3 linked regions of the Cricetulus griseus genome follow. The protein of the gene in region 2 purifies or fractionates together with the protein of the main gene of each other region. This does not show direct contact. Links are inferred from orthologs where the notes say so. Each region holds a gene or a part of one and is shown on either strand. Other genes may lie near its edges.

Evidence for each region.
Region 1: the proteins of Sod1 (region 2) and Prdx2 fractionate together in Homo sapiens (co-fractionation; 3 studies listed by BioGRID, with this or other methods). This does not show direct contact. The link is inferred for Cricetulus griseus from reciprocal best matches to the Homo sapiens genes SOD1 and PRDX2.
Region 3: the proteins of Sod1 (region 2) and Tpi1 purify together in Homo sapiens (affinity purification with mass spectrometry; 3 studies listed by BioGRID, with this or other methods). This does not show direct contact. The link is inferred for Cricetulus griseus from reciprocal best matches to the Homo sapiens genes SOD1 and TPI1.

The regions. Positions count from the first base shown.
Region 1 is NC_048596.1:159,392,789-159,398,343, forward strand, and holds the start of Prdx2 (peroxiredoxin-2), read right to left. Parts: upstream 3,315-5,555; 5' UTR 3,298-3,314; intron 2,799-3,297; 5' UTR 2,797-2,798; coding exon 2,694-2,796; intron 2,604-2,693; coding exon 2,450-2,603; intron 1,618-2,449; coding exon 1,495-1,617; intron 1,349-1,494; coding exon 1,218-1,348; intron 1-1,217.
Region 2 is NC_048597.1:7,461,616-7,466,678, reverse strand, and holds the end of Sod1 (superoxide dismutase [Cu-Zn]), read left to right. Parts: intron 1-1,747; coding exon 1,748-1,817; intron 1,818-2,528; coding exon 2,529-2,646; intron 2,647-2,747; exon of another isoform or gene 2,748-3,118; coding exon of another isoform or gene 3,119-3,171; intron 3,172-3,612; coding exon 3,613-3,720; 3' UTR 3,721-3,811; downstream 3,812-5,063. UniProt on the Homo sapiens protein: Destroys radicals which are normally produced within the cells and which are toxic to biological systems.
Region 3 is NC_048601.1:21,601,263-21,606,866, forward strand, and holds the start of Tpi1 (triosephosphate isomerase), read left to right. Parts: upstream 1-2,290; 5' UTR 2,291-2,366; coding exon 2,367-2,481; intron 2,482-3,588; coding exon 3,589-3,712; intron 3,713-3,789; coding exon 3,790-3,874; intron 3,875-3,948; coding exon 3,949-4,081; intron 4,082-4,551; coding exon 4,552-4,637; intron 4,638-4,858; coding exon 4,859-4,946; intron 4,947-5,070; coding exon 5,071-5,189; 3' UTR 5,190-5,604. Other genes in the region: Usp5 (ubiquitin carboxyl-terminal hydrolase 5), read left to right, coding at 841-934. UniProt on the Homo sapiens protein: Triosephosphate isomerase is an extremely efficient metabolic enzyme that catalyzes the interconversion between dihydroxyacetone phosphate (DHAP) and D-glyceraldehyde-3-phosphate (G3P) in glycolysis and gluconeogenesis.

The DNA.
Region 1 (5,555 bases), on a different chromosome or scaffold from region 2:
GAAAAACACACAAGGATGAACACATGAGGCTCAGCTCTGCCATCCAGGTCAGGGACAAACAGGCCATGCAAGACCCTAGGCTGCCTGCACAATGAAGGGCTGGAAGCTAAGGGGCAGGGTTCCAGATTTCACTCAATCAGAAGCCCCTGCCCCAATAGTTTTCTAGATGATACTTTTCTGTTCTATTGTCTTGTTTGTTCTGTACTTTTGTTTTCACCTTGACCCCGACCCGATGGCAGCCCTATCTTAGCCCGACTGCTGGGATCACAGACAGGCATCACCACACTCCTGCAAATTCTTTTTTTTTTTTTTAGTTTTATTTTAGCTGCTGAAGGACTGGAGTTTGAGCTCTGGGCCTTGTGTAAACCACACCTAGCTATAGTTCAGTCTTCTTTTTTAAGGGTTCTCTGGCTGGCCTACAACTTTCTCCATAGATCAGGCTCCATAGATCAAACATGCACTGCTCCTCCTTCCTCCACAGCTGAAGTGTTTGGACTATAGGCATGCACCACCACACTTAGCCTTTTTTCTTGAAATAATGTCTCACTCTTCAGCCCAAGCTGGTCTCCTGTTTCAGCTCCAAAGTGCTGAGATTACAGGCCTGTGTCTCCATGCCCCTCCCCTTTAACTCACTCACTCTGTCAGTCTTAGCCTTACTAAAACTCTGTACCTGTGGTCAGGTGACCCTTCCATATGATGAGGTGCTATGACTGGCCTCGAGGTACAGCTCAGTGAAAGAGCATCGTCTAGTATGTTTGAGGCTTTGATCACTAGCACACTCATGCACAAATAAGTTTTTAAAGCAGGTACGGTATTTTGTGCCTTTAATCCCAGAACTGGGGAGCAGGCAGATCTTTTGAGTTCAAGGCCAGATTGGTCTACATAGCTAGCTCCAGGCAAACATGAATACATACTAAAAATTTGTTTTTTTGGGGCTCCGGCTTTTTTTTTTAATCTAATTTTTTTTGTGATATATATATATACAAGAGGAGACCAGAAGAGAGTCCTGAGACTGTAATTAAAGATGCTTATGAGGCACCATGTGGGTGCTGGAAATCTAACCCTGATCCTCTGGAAAAGCAGCCAGTGCTGTAAACCATCTCTTCAGCCCTTGTATGGGGCTTTACCACCCATCCCACAATGATGCTAGGGCAAACAGTTAATGTCTGTAAGCTGGGCAGAGAGCTGAGGATCCCCATCTGTGAATATTCACTCACCTTCTCCATGCTCATCTGTATACTGAAAAGCCTGGACCAGGCGAAGAGCCTCATCCACAGATCGTCCCACTGGGAGGTCATTGACTGTGATCTGACGAAGGATACCCTTGGCGTCGATGATAAAGAGGCCCCTGAAGACATGAGAGCCTATAGTGAGGAGCTTGGAGTCCCCCACTGCCAAGGCCAGGTAAGGCAACACACACACCCCATTAGCCACAGTGGTCCCTTTAGCCTTGAGATGGGGACTCCTGGAGCTGGGCTGAGGCCCTTGCTATACCTGTAGGCAATGCCCTCATCAGTTTTCAACACTCCATAATTCTCTGACAAGCTTCTAGTCACATCAGCAAGCAGGGGGATGTTCAGGGGGCCCAAGCCTCCCTCCTTCCGTGGGGTGTTGATCCTGAAGATGAGAGAAACAGGGTTGGGGCCTTAGGATGCCCAGAACAGCAGAATTCCCCCCTCCCCCCCCCCCCCCCCCCGCCTCCAGTGTGATAAGGGCTGGAGTGGGGGTACTGGAAGCAAGAGATAAAGGATTTCAAACAAGGCTGGGTAGCCCCACCCTCCCCACCCTGGCAAAGGCAGTACAACTGGAAAGGGAATGGCCCAGATAAATCATCATCTTAAAGTAGCTTCACTTGGGCCCATGGGCTCCAATAACTAGCAATAGGGATACCACTTTAGCCAACAGCAGAGGTAGAGCTCAGGGGTAGGGTACTTGCTTTGCAGCAATGAGACCTTGAGTTGACCCCTAGTTCTGAAAAAAAAAGGGGGGGATTTCCAACATCATCTAGCTCTGGTCTTTACATCAACCCATCACTCTTGAGAACTAGAGTTTCCCGTTTCATGAGATAGGGCAAGGCCAGCCTGTCTCCTGAGAACTAAGCCACGAAGCATCTGTACCTTCCAACTAGGTGCCAAATGCTAATTACTGTCATTATTGTAAGGACTTGGGTGTCATTGTTTCCATTCTTTATAAGATGAAGGACCAGCTGGGCGGTGGTGGCGCAGGCCTTTAGTCCTAGCACTCAGGAGGCAGAGTCAGGAGGATCTCTGTGAGTTCCAGACCAGCCTGGTCTACAAGAGCTAGTTCCAGGACAGCCTCCAAAGCCACAGAGAAACCCTGTCTCGCAACCCCCCCACACACACATAAAAGATGAAGGGCCGGAAGAGAAGACACAGTTTATCCCCATAGTTTGCCCCCGCCCTCGCCCGCCCCGCGCACAGCCCCATACCACGCCAGGTGGGTGAACTGAGAGTCCACAGACACTCCGAGGACCTCGCAGCCCAGTTTTCGGAAGTCTTCAGCGTGGTTGCTAAAAGCAATGATCTCCGTGGGGCACACAAAAGTGAAGTCCAGTGGGTAGAAAAAGAGGACCACATACTTCCCTAGGGAAGAGGAGAACGAAGAAAAGTTAGTTCCAGCCCCTCTCATATATGGAGCCTGTCCCAACTTGGTCCCCCTCCGGGCAGCCTCACCTCTGTAGTCTGAAAGCTTGACTTCCTTGAAGGCGCCGTCCACCACTGCGGTGGCCGTGAAGTCCGGGGCCGGCTTTCCGATGTGCGCGTTGCCGGAGGCCATGACTGAAAGCAGAGACCCACGCAAGGCTGGTCAGTGCCGCAAAGGACCCTTTGTCTGACTTTCCCAAGGTCACTCTTGGGGCTGAAGCTAGACACCGAATCTGAGAGGTGGGAGCACCAGCACTCAAATTCATTCACCCTCCCAGAACAAGTTCTGCAAGGCCTCAGGAGACCCGGCCCCCTAAACGGCGCACGAGTGATGGATGGGGTCACCGCCGCCACCCGGGTTATCCAGTCGGCCCAAGCGCGGGGGAAAGGACGCGAACCAGAACGGGATGGCGAGGCCAAGAGCGAGGAGCTGTGAGCTCGGCGATACGGCCTGCAACCCAGGGCTCCGACCTTGGTTCCCCCCATTCCCCCGCCCCCACCCCCACCTACCGCAAGGACAAAGGCGGCCGCCGTTGAGCATGGAAAACAAAGACCGTAAGCAAGGAGGGCTCTATAGGGACAGAACCGCACCCGTGGGGCTGCTCCCATTCGTGTGCATTCTGGGTTTCCATACCTGCGTGGGCAAGAGCCGGACACGCGAACGACAGGACACAAAGCACAGAGATCTCAGAGCCAAACAAGCCCTAGGCCCGCGAGCTTTTTATGCGCGGCCCAAACCACACTAGGCAGGACAGGGGGAGGTGGGCGGGACAGCTCCGACGGTAGGATCCACTGCGCCTGCAGAGGGGGAGCGCGCGGACCGGCCCACGCGCTTGCACAAGGGATGGGTGGGGTGTGCCTTTGCGGACGCCGGGATTGTCTGTGCTGTGGGATCCACGCGGGCCTGGGGCCCCGGGGCGCGTTGGGGTCGGTTGGAGTCCGGGCATGGACCGGAGCCTGCTGGCTCTGCTGCTGCCACCTCTAGTGCTCCTGGGTCTGGTGTCCCCTACTCAGGTAGACCCAGACTACCAGTATTTTGGCCAGCAGGGCAAAGTTGACACCTTGGAGCTGCTGAGGCTGCAGCAAAAAAAGGGTAAAAACTAGCAGGTGGCGGGAGTGACGATTTGAAAAGGTGCCCCCAAAGGCCTCACTTAGTCAGCTGATTACAAATAGACCCTCCTGTCTCGACTCTGCCCAGCTCAGCACAGGCCGTGTCCTCTGGGACTGGCCACTTTTCTCTGAGTGTGTTGGTTTCTCATCTGTGAGTTGTTTTTGTTTTGTTTTCTTTCACTTTACTGAAAATTTTGCTCTGCAGCTTCCTTGGTCATCTGATAATTGTAATATACACATTTAGCACTATTCAGGAGACAATAAGCAGACTATAAACATAGTGCTAGGCAGGGTGGAGACAGGGAAAGAAACTGTCCAGTCAGCTTGAGATGTCCGCAAGGTGTGGTGAAGATGGTAGTAACCAATACAGCCGGAATGACTAGCAGAGTCAAAATTACAAAGACTGAGTGAGTAACAGTGTCCCAGGAAGAGGGAATAAACAAAGGCCTAAGGGGAGGATGTCATTTGGCAAAGATCTGATGAGGAAGGGTAAGAGGCACCACCCTCGGTGAGTTCTGATAAGGGTTTTGCTGCACTAGTAGCTAGAGCAGTTGGAGCACTGGCCCAGCGTGCAACAAAGTCCTGCTCCTTCCCCAACACTGACTAAGCAGTGCACACTGCAATCATAGTATTTGGGAGCTGGAGTCAGGGGAACTGAAGTTCAGAGTCATCTGCGGCTACCAAAGGAATTAGAGGCCAGCTTAGAGTACACGAGACTCTGATTAAAAAAAAAAAAAAAAAAAAAAAGCAAAAAAAGGAAAGAAAGGAAAGGAAAGGAAAGGAAAGGAAAGGAAAGGAAAGGAAAGGAAAGGAAAGGAATTCTGTTAGGATGTAGGTCAGGGGTGGTACAGCACTTGACCAGAGTGTGTGAGGCCTTGGGCTAAATCTTACCTTTAGCACTACACTGGGAAAAAAAAAAAGTTGTAGCTGTTCCTGAGCATAAAAATTACTTTGTTGCTACAAGTTAGTGGAGCACCAGTGGCTTTAAGTAAATTCATTGTGTCAATTATATTGTTTATCTTGCGGTGTGTTAGTCCTGCCAGTCAGGTGGCAGTGGGCAAGAGTCAACTTTGGATGTCGGGTATGAAGGACAGAGTGTCCATACTCACAACTGAGCAGGCCAGCACAGATTAGAGGTGTTAATTTGCAGCTGTGGGCAGCTCATGTATGTCAACCTGACAGAGTGGTTTGTTTTTCTGGATCACCCCCACACAGAGGCAGCAAAGTCTTCAAATACCAGCTGATACTAGGTTCCTTATCATTGTCCTTCCCTGGACAAGTCCCCCGTAATGGAGTTAATTACCCCAACTGGGTTTTCATGTTCACTTCCATCTCCAGGAGCGGAAGATTCAATCTTAGGCCCGTGGGGAAAGTGGCATTGTTTCTGCGATCTGGGCAAACAGGAACGCAGCCGTGAGGTGCTGGGTACAGACCCAGTCCCCGTGTTCATGGACCCATCGAACTTGGTACAGTTGAGGCCCTGCCGGCAACGGGATTGCTCATCTTGCAAACCAATGGACTGCGACTGGAGGGTCTGAGCAGAGGTGAGTGGAAAGAGGAGGCAATGAAAATCAGTGAGGACTGACAGGATGATCCAGGCATAGTCAGGGAGATAAGAAGTGAGGTAGTGGCTAGTATGAGGTGAGTACTGGGGCCCAAAGTCTGAGGCTTAAGGCTGGTGATTTGTACCAGGCAGCTGATTTGGACACAAGAGTCTTTCTGAAAACTAGGGAGAAACCAAGGAAAGTTGGTAGGAGTGAGCCATGTTGTTCATGCCTGTGG
Region 2 (5,063 bases):
TGAAGCACGTGGACCCAGTCAAAACTCAATTGCTAATGATTAAAAAATTAAGAGTTTTTTTACTTTTTAAAGAAATTAAGTTAAAATAACCGCTTAGGTCACCTTGAGGAAAGTAGCCACAAAAAGTAGTGTTTGATTCATTAAGTGTGGGAAGGGGAAGGAGTTGGTGCTTTATTGTGATAATGTCTTAACTTTAAAACACAGAAACAAAAAATTAAAGTCCTGCTGATTTTGAGTAATTCTTTGAGGTGCTTGGCACTGGGGGGTGAGGGTGGGTGTTTCAGGCACAGTGTCGGGGAAAGCTCCAAGCCTTGCAATGAGAGTCACAGTGGGGCAGAGTGCTGAGAACTGAAGGTACAGCTTAGGAGGAAGGTCAGTGTCTCAGTGGGCTTAGGATCAAGTCAGCAAGAAGTGGGCGGAGGGAGGGGTGTCCCTCCCTTCTCTTCTGTCCTCTCTGGCTCTTTACCTCTTTTCTCTTTCCCTCCCCTTTCTAATAAAACCTTTCACTTAAGTGGTGGTGGATTAGATTGCATTTAGTGGTCTTGCCATATTGGCAAGATCTGAATTTTGTTCACAAACTTGTAAGAAGAGCCTCATTCGTATTGTCAGAGCTTTCTCTTCCTCTCCACTCCACCCCTGCTTCCCTCTCTTCTCTACATAGCCCAGGTTGGCCTAGAACTTGTGGTATAAGCCAGTCTCTGAAGTTGGCATCCTCCTTTATTTAGTCTTGTGTGTGCTGGGTTATGGCATGTACCATTAAAACCTGTGTATAACGTGTCATAATTTGGTCCATTTTGATCGGGTTTGATCCATTTTGATAATTACTAAAACTCCCCTAAGTTGCTTTGCCTCTGCTCTGATAGCTTTTATCTGCTAAATCTCCTGAATCCTGCCCTGCACTTATTCCCTGGGCCTGGGTAGTTGTAAACAGTGCAAGTCTCTGCATGAAAGGACTTCTGTGATGATACGGTTGTGTTCCTTATGAATGGCCCCTTGGTGTGAGTACCTGTACACCCCTCGAGTTGTGTAGGGCAGCAGCCCTGGCCATTGGGCATAAGGTTCCATTTAACAGACTGCCTGCCCCATGCCCCAGGTAAAGGCCAGATAGATGAGCTACTTGGAGGCGCATGGTCTTGAAAGATGAATGTTTTTGTCATAATGGTATGGCACCTTCCCTTTTTTTTTTTTTTCATTCTTTTATTAGTTCAAATTAGGAACAAGCTTGTTTCACATGTCAAATCCTTCTTCCTCTCCCTCCCCTCCCCCCTAACATCCCACCTGGATATGGCACCTTCTTAAAAGCCAAGATCTTTAAATGTGGGACTTTAACTTCAGAAGAGCCATTGAAGATCAGATCTGCTCCACTTAAAAGGAAGGAGCCAGAGCCAGTATGGTGTGGCAGTCCCATGTTCCTAGCACCTGGAAGGCTGAGGCAGGAGGATCACAGGCTGCAGGTATCCTGGGCTGTAATAGTGAGACCCTGTCCCAAAACTCAAAAACAAAAGGGGGGGGGAACGACCCTCCCCCCCAAAAAAACGGAAAAATGTGGCAGCCTAAAGAAAGAAGGTAGCTTGATAGTATAAGGCTACACAGCCCTGCTGTTTATACCATGCACAGTGTTCTTCCTGTTTCTGTCACCCCAGCACACAGCAGGTCAATGTTTGCTGTGTTAGACGTTGTGAAAATGCTCATGTTGTTACATACAGGCGTTTGCTTCATAATCTAACTGCTGGTTTCTGGTGGATAGGCTGTACCAGTGCAGGTCCTCATTTTAATCCTCACTCCAAGAAACATGGCGGACCCTCGGATCAAGAGAGGTGAGCGGCATGCCCCATATGCATGATGGTGGAGAGGCTGCCTGGAAGACAGGACTGAGTGGTCTCCCTGCCTCTGCGCTTGTATTTGTTGTCACTCCCCAAGTGCTGGAACGGTTTATTTGGGGTAAAGGAGTTGACAAATGGGGACTCTTAATGTGATTTAGTTTTATAGCATTTATTGAAGATGAATACAAGAGCCAAAAGGAACCAATACAGAAAATGTCAAGGGTAACAGTACTGTCAGTCACTAGCAAAGTAAATCATTGTGTAACAGGATACTAGTGCAGATAATGAAAGCTAGTTGAGACTCCATTTATATGTGAAACACCTCAGGAAAGTCCTAAGTTTAAAGGACTGCCTTGTTTTTATACTGGAGGCCTGGGAGCAAAACTTTGCTAGGTATGCTAACTCACGAGCTGAGTTCCTCCTTTGCTACAATCCCCAAAATGAGAAATATATCCCAGACCGTGACTCTTCTCAGATCGTACTTTTAAACTTGAAGTGTGTGTTCAGGGTGTCCTAGCTACCTGTTTTAAAATTGTGTTTCCAGACCTTTGTGAGTCTGGAAAAGTCGTCCTATTTGGTATGTATTGTGTACTTCCTAGCCCACTTAGACGTGTTTGACTTGGTGAGATGTTAATTTAGCTCTTGAATGCTGCTGATGTGAATGTAGACATGAGTGCTTATCCTCTGATGCTGTTGTAACATTAGGCATGTTGGAGACCTGGGCAATGTGACTGCCGGGAAGGATGGTGTGGCCAATGTGTCCATTGAAGATCATGTGATCTCACTCTCGGGAGAGCATTCTATCATCGGCCGAACAATGGTGGTACGTTTTCATAAAAGAACATATAGGATTTCTTCTAACATGGTTATATACCTTTCCAAGACTTCATGGTCAAACTACTTTCTAAAGAATCACATAAATTGTTAAAGTTTAGAATAGGAAAAAGTTTTTATTGGATATGATAGTGAAGAGTTAATTTGCCTAGGTCAGTTAAGAACACTGTTCTGCTAAGATGCAGTGGAAAGCAGGTTACATTTGATCAGACTGGGTCTAAGTTGAACAAACAGTAGTCTTGAGTTTAAAACAGCCAGATTTTCTTGCCATGATTGCTCCCCTTACAGTTAAACATTTCGTTGAGTGTAAAATCTGCGATGGATGTCAGTATTCAGGTCTGTAGGTTATCATCGCTTGGTTACCATATGGGAGCCGTCTTCCCAAGTTACCCTCGGGAGCTGAGTCTGGTTCATGCAGAACAAGTAGTAAAGGCTCCTGCCCAGCTTGGGCAGCTACCTTTTCAGTAGGCACTTCCTTTCAGTTGACCCTTTATCCTTAGAATTTTCTTCAGCCCTATTGGTGAAGCAGAACAGTCATTTATAAATGTTCTAAAAGTAAAATTTAAAGTCTTGTTGCTAAATAAAGATATTTAGAATTGCCTCTTATTTGTAGGTCTATAGTTCACTGATGTGGGATTTTTGATAGCAAAAAATTTGGGGGTGTGTAATGTGTGAAGCTAAGATCAGCATGTGGTCTGGTACAGTCATTTGGGTTGTTAGTATTTCATTTAGAAGTAGCAACATTTACCTAGCTTTTAAAGCTAACGTGTCTTTGTCACTAAAAGGAGAACTTAGTTGTCTGCCCCTAACTGGTAGCATAAATACCATCTTATTTGCTAATAGATTTGAACATTTTATAATTTAAGTGGTCCTTTTAAGTCTTTTGTGGTATTGCTAGGAAGAGGTGCTAATTACTTGGTTGCCCAAAGCTAAATGTTCTTAATTCTTTTCAAAGGTCCATGAGAAGCAAGATGACTTGGGCAAAGGCGGAAATGATGAAAGTACAAAGACTGGAAATGCTGGAAGCCGCTTGGCTTGTGGTGTGATCGGGATTGCCCAGTAAACATTCCCTGTGTGACTGAGTCTCAAACTCATCTGCTGTCCTGCTAAACTGTAGAAAAAAACCCCATTAAACTGTAATATTAAAAGTGTAACTGTGTGACTCCTCTTTGATTTAAGGACTTGTAATGAGAACTGATTGATGATGCTAGAAAGATGTGTATAATTTTATAGCTAACTGAACTAAAACCGGTTTCCATGCGTATTCTGCCAAACTTAATTACCCATGGATATTAAACTAAAGTTAATTCTCACTCAAGCTTATGAGTAAACATCATATGTGAGACTTACTTAGAGCCTATTAATGTATACAAACAAAATTTCAAAGTTAGCGCTATACATTAAACATCAACAAGAGACTCAGGTGTTGTTAACTTTAGTGCTCTGTTTTGAAAGTGTTTTATGTGACACCATCAAAATGTATGGCTAGTTTTGATTGTGGAAGCCCAAACCAAATTTGATCTTAGAAGGTTTGCTGCCCTTTGTTAGTAGCTTCAGAAATATTACCGAAAGCTCTCCATTTAGAGTCAGAGTACCAACTATTTTGAAATAAAAATACTATATTTAGATGTCATAATTTAAAATGCCCCTTAGCCTCAGCTAGCCAAAGTTAATTTACTACCTACACTACTTTCCAAGTGACCCTGGAAAAACAGCAGCACTGGGAGAGGACCAAGTTTGACTCAAAGTTCTGGCTAAATCCTGACTTTATAGCACAAGTGAATGAAATTGAGTATCTCTTAATATGTACCTAAGAAAGACTCCCTTCTAAAGGAAATAACATAGTGATAACTTGCTTGTACAAATAAAGCCTGTCCGAAGACCAGAGAATGGAGCTTGCCACTAGCTAGCCATAGAAGTCCGGAGGTCTGTGCAGGTGACTCTAGAATAGATCATTCAACTGAAATGTTTGACAAGTCAGGTATGAGCCCTACCTGGTCCTGTTCAATCGTAACCACATAATTTTCCAAATACAAGTCACTAGGAGACTGTTAAATAGGAAAAGGGAAAATTTTGGGGTTCCCAAGTTTTAAAACTGCTCATAAGGAATGTGTTCGGAAGTTTGAAGTTTGAGGTAAATGACATGTCATGGGTTTCCTTAAAGTGGTTTTTGATGTGTGGGGTGACTCAAATGAGACTAAGCATCTGGTGTAATCAAACCAGTTGTATTGTTTAGTGGTTTATTTCTCAGCACTTCCGGTTGGAAATGCAAGTCTGTCCTTGAAATCTGGGCACTGGATAACCAGGTGTGTTTTTATCTCTTCGGAAGTATTCTAGAGCAAGAATATCAGTAGGGTCAACATAAAACCAAAACCGGGACAGCTGCAGACATAAGTCTCCCCATCA
Region 3 (5,604 bases), on a different chromosome or scaffold from region 2:
GGGTTCAATTCCCAGCACCCACATGACAGCTCACAACTGTCTGTAACTGTCAGTTACAGGGGATCTGACATTCTCACACCAATGCACATAAAATAAAATTTAAAAAGTAAAAGGATAGAAAATGTTGGTCTCTCTGGTTCCTCCAGCTTCACAGGAATGGGTGGAAGATGATTATAAAAAATGCAATAGGCTGACAAGATCTTAATGAGTAAAGACACTACCTCAGTCCTGACAGCCTGAGATAGATTCCCAGAACCAGAAAACTACCCTCTCTGACCTCTGTGTACACTTTAGTGCAAAATAAATTATTGTAATTATTGAAAATACAATCTGTTTGGGAATGGTGATGCACACCTTTAATCCCAGAACCCAGGAGGCAGAGGCAGTTGGATCTCTTGAGTTTGAGGCCAGCCTGGTCACAGAGTGAGTTCCAGGCCAGCCAGGGCTGTTACACAGAGAAACGCTGGGGGGGGGGGATGGCATGATGTAGTTGTATACATATTTAATCCCAGCATTGTGGAGGCAGAAATAGATAGATCTTTGAGTTTGTAGCCAGCCTGGTCTACATAGTATTCCAGGATAGCCAGAGCTGTTGGGATCCTGTTTCTAAGTAACAATCTGAAGACTCCAAATGGAAAATGACTCTTAAGGGATTTTGAAGTTCCTTTCAGACTGCTAGCTGGACTATAGATTTGGGGATCTCAGCATTAAATGAAAGTTGGGATCCTTCCCCAGAAACACCTCAGAGATCTCAGGTGGGCACCTGAGAGATGAACATGATACAGCTTGGATGCCCACTTTGTTCATCCTTCCTTCTCTGTCCCTTCCCCCATTTTCCAGATGGGTGATCTACAATGACCAGAAAGTGTGTGCCTCTGAAAAGCCACCCAAGGACCTGGGCTACATCTACTTCTACCAGAGAGTGGTCAGCTAAGAGCCTGACCTCAACCCTTACCACTTCGGGCAGGGGACAGACCATCTGGCATGAGGGATGGGGTTGAGGGATGGACTTAAGCCCCCTGCTCTGTACCCTTTTTCCTTTTGTCCCCAGCAGCCGGAAAGAGCTGGAGGCGGTAGGAGAATGGCCAAGCAAAGAGAAGGGGTACTCAGTAGACTTTGGGGATAGAGCAGGGATGGGACAGGAAGGGGCCGACTGCCTGTCCACACTGGGACCTTGTTGCTTCCTTTCCCTGCCCCTGGAATCCACAGTGCTCTGCTTCTCTGTGATGACCCAGCCCCTCGAGTTGGGAGGGGTCTTAACTGTGTGTGCGTGGGTGTGGCTTTATGCATCCTTCCAGGGGAGGGAGCGACTGTGCCTCCCCTCCCCTCCCCTCCCCTTCCCTTATGTGTTTGCTCCCTCGTGGTTGGGCAGAGAAGGATAGGAGGGAAATAGGGACACCTTCCCCCTTTGTTCTTCTGCCTCAGCCTCCCATTCTGTGTCTTTGGTCCTCTGGAAAAATGCCAAAATACATGATGTGAATAAAAGTACAATGACTGGCTGGTTTTGTTTAGTTCTTCATGGCAAACTTACTTTCCCTGAGTAAAGTTACTGATGTGGGGGGCAGACAGGTTCAGAGAGGCCCAACTGGGGTCCTTTGCCCTGCCTCCACCCTCCCACCCTGGGGAATTTTGTCTTTAGTTCTAAAAGTGCCCAGAAAACTGTGAGGTGGGGAAGTGGCTGCTTCCCCCCTCTACTGACCATGTACTTGGTCCAGCCCCAGTGTTACAGGATAAATAGAGGGTCTAGAGCAGGCAGTGGGCAGTCAGATGGTATTAGCTGACAGGCTTTACAAGACAACAGCCAGTCTGCCACCTCCCTTCCTGCACGCCAGTGTATCCCACTCTTTGCTCCATTTGGCCAAGACCTGACAAGAGAGGGACCCAGTAATCACCCGAAACGTTTGTGAAACACTTGGGCCCTTCCCTAGTGATTGCTGGAAGGGCTCCTCGACCATGGCTTTTTGCCTTGTGCTGTGGGGAAAGGGGGCCTCTCCTTTGGAGAGGTGCTCAGTCCCAGTGAGACTGGTTTAGGGCCATATTGCTGCCAGCCCTTTGGTTTCCCTGAGCGCGAGGCTCAACATCTCAACTGTCGAGCAACAGGCGGGACGTTTGAGCCCCCGGAACCCCCTAGAACGTTGCTACAAGAAGGGAGAAACGTCAGAATATCGAAACACCGGGAGGTGGATAGGTTGAGGGGGAAGGCTTAGCAGCAAGGGGCCGGGCTAACCATGGCGGAGGGCGGGAATGAGGAGGAGTTCTGCTTCACGGCACTCTATATAAGTGGCCAGTGGCCAGGGACGTGCGTTCACACTGAGGTTCAGCAAGTCTGTCAGAGCGCGGAGGTTCAGCAAGTCTGTCAGACCGCAATGGCGCCTTCCAGGAAGTTCTTCGTTGGGGGCAATTGGAAGATGAACGGGACGAAGAAGTGCCTGGGAGAGCTCATTTGCACGCTGAACGCGGCCAAGGTGCCGGCAGACACCGGTGAGCTCCATTTGGGAGCGGAGGCCGGGGGAGGGGTGGGTGGGTGGTGGATCGGGCGTGGCAGCACCTACTCCCTCCCTATCCCGTGGACCCGGACGCCGGCCTGGGTTCGCCGGCCGTTTGGTGTCCGGGCGGCATAGAGACGTACTGGGGTGGAAAGGCATTTAAATGATGCCCCGGGCCTGTGGGGCAGGAAAGGGCTTCGTGGGTGGGGGCTGGGCGGAAGGTCACCTCCAGGAATGGACTGGGGCTGCACCACCTAGGAGGGAGCCACGGTTAAGAAGCGGAACCAGTGTCCGAGTGGATAATCGGCACGTGCCTCAGAGTATGGGGGAGGAAGCTGAGCTTGCGCGGTCTCATGGTCTCACGGCTACCTGCCCCCTCGGTCTCCAGATCCGTGCGTCTCTGCACGTAGCCCGAAACTCCTCCCCGCGCCGCCGCTAGCTTCGGCCTCTGAGCTGGGGGCTCCTACATCCCTACCCCTCCACAGCCTGGGCCACCCCTGCCTTTCGCCTTAGGGACTGAGCAGGCGCCAAACATGCCGAGCCGTTTGGGAATGAAGAGCTATCCTACAGCTCTCCTCCGCCTGGAAATAGGAAAACACGAGGTCTCTGCGAGCTAGACAACTCCCCCTGCTGCTCACTCACACTGTTCTCCATCCTTCCCCCTCCTACCCACCTAAATCAGAGAACCTTGAGAGTAACCAAAGGGTATTGTCTGCTGATTTATTTCCTAAGGAGCCCAATACAGACTCCAGTACCTGGCCTATTCTCCTGAAGCGAAAAATCCTTGCTGGGTTGGAGAAGTGTGGATGGGCTATTTTAGAAAAGGTTGGCCCCCGGAGAGTGCTGAGTCTAGGAGGTTCCCATTCCCGGAATAGCCTGAGGAAATTAGAGCCACAGCTGTTACAAGAGCAGAGGACAGGGTAAGGGCCTTGGCCTATCATGAGCATTCAGAAGGCTATGGAATTGGTACAGGCCCAGCCGGGGCTGTGCAGTGAACAAAGGTCATCCTTCTGAAGTGAAAAATCGAGGAAAACAGAACCAAGAAAGTGAAGGCGTGAGAGCAAGCCTGGAGAGTAACGGCTTTCTTTGATCTCATTCTCAGAGGTGGTTTGTGCGCCCCCCGCCGCCTACATCGATTTTGTCAGGCAGAAGCTAGATCCCAAGATTGCTGTGGCTGCACAGAACTGCTACAAAGTGAACAGTGGGGCCTTCACTGGGGAGATCAGGTGAGATGGAGGCAGAGAGGGATGTAGAGGGAACCTTCCTTGTGGACCCTTGCTGAACCTTGGTGTTTATGTTTTAGCCCTGGCATGATCAAAGACTTAGGAGCCGAATGGGTAGTGCTAGGGCACTCGGAGAGAAGGCACATCTTTGGGGAGTCCGATGAGGTCAGTAAGCAGAGGAGGAGTTGGGAGATGCTTTCATCCGAGGCGGGTGGCTCACTGTATTTGTTCTTTGCCAGTTGATTGGACAGAAAGTGGCCCATGCCCTATCCGAGGGCCTTGGAGTGATCGCCTGCATTGGGGAGAAGCTAGATGAAAGGGAGGCCGGCACCACCGACAAGGTTGTTTTCGAGCAAACCAAGGCCATCGCAGGTATCTCAGGAGAAAGGGACCTTTGAGCCTAGCAAGGGCCACAGAGATGGGGTGGGGAGGTCAAAAACCCTGCAGCCTACCTGATATGTTGAGCCAGGAAAAGAGAGGGCAACTTGCATAGTCTTTGTCACTTCTGTTTCTGCAGAAGGTGGAAACCCTACCTTCAAAAGCCTCTAGGGGCTGGTGAAATGGCTCTGTGGGTAAGGGTGCTTATTGCCAAGCCTGAGAGCCTATTTGATCCTCCAAACCCACATGGTAGGAGAGAACCAACTCCTGCAAGTTGTCCTCTGTCCTCCGTATGTTTGCCTTAGCGCTCGCGTGAGCACACACACACAAATTGTTTAAAAAAAAAAAATGGGTGGAGAAAAAAAGCCCACCAGGAATTGCAAGCCATTTCTGTTACACCCTAGAGAGCTTAGCTGGGCAGCTCCTTCCTCTTCACAGTTTTCTCCCTGATCTTCACCCTGCAGATAATGTGAAGGACTGGAACAAAGTTGTCCTGGCCTATGAACCTGTATGGGCCATTGGTACTGGCAAGACTGCAACACCTCAACAGGTAACTAATTGCCGAGAAGCCCCATCCCCCCGTCCCCCCCGTCCCCAACTCAACAAAAAAAGTGACTTGCCAAGGATGTTTTCCCTGTCTGGGATTGGAGCCTTGCTATTCTGATCCCAAGACTTTTCCAGAAACTAAACCCTCCATACAAGCACCAATGGGTTGCTTGTTCTCTTTGAATGAACAGGAAAGGTCTTACTTAGTGTACCTCTTCTTTCTAGGCCCAGGAAGTACACGAGAAGCTTCGGGGATGGCTGAAATCCAATGTCTCTGATGCAGTGGCTCAAAGCACCCGAATCATTTATGGAGGTGAGGGGGTTTGGCTCCAGCCAAGGTGGAAGTGGGCTAAGATAGACTGAGGCCCCACAGAGAGGTGGGGCCTCCGTGGACTAATCCTATCCCTGACCAAACCATCTTCCTGTTAATGTTACAGGTTCTGTGACTGGAGCAACCTGCAAAGAGCTGGCAAGCCAGCCTGATGTGGACGGCTTCCTTGTGGGTGGTGCTTCCCTCAAGCCTGAGTTTGTGGACATCATCAATGCCAAATGTTAAACACCAGCATCTTCCCTACCCTCCGCTAGGCCAGGATTAGGTTGCCCAGGAGCTTAGGAACTGCTCCCACAAGTCACATGCTTCTGATGTCATCGCCCCATCTTGTTTGCTAATCCACACTGTACCTTCCTACACCTTTGACACCTCCCTATAAAGGTTGGGACCAGGCCAATCCCTTTACCACTTACAATGAATGAAATAATGTCACCTATTTCACCAAAGTGGCTTCCTGGCTGGCGGAGCGGAAGAAGCGCAACTGACTGTCCCTTCAGGTCCTCACCAGGGCAGGAGAGTAAAACCACCTTCCTTTTCCTTCTCAGTGTACACTTAGGCCAACGTCCTCTTGCTCTGAGAGGCCAGGGGTGTCCCATCTCCCACAATGCCGAAGCCCTAGTACTGTGTTTGTGAACCATCT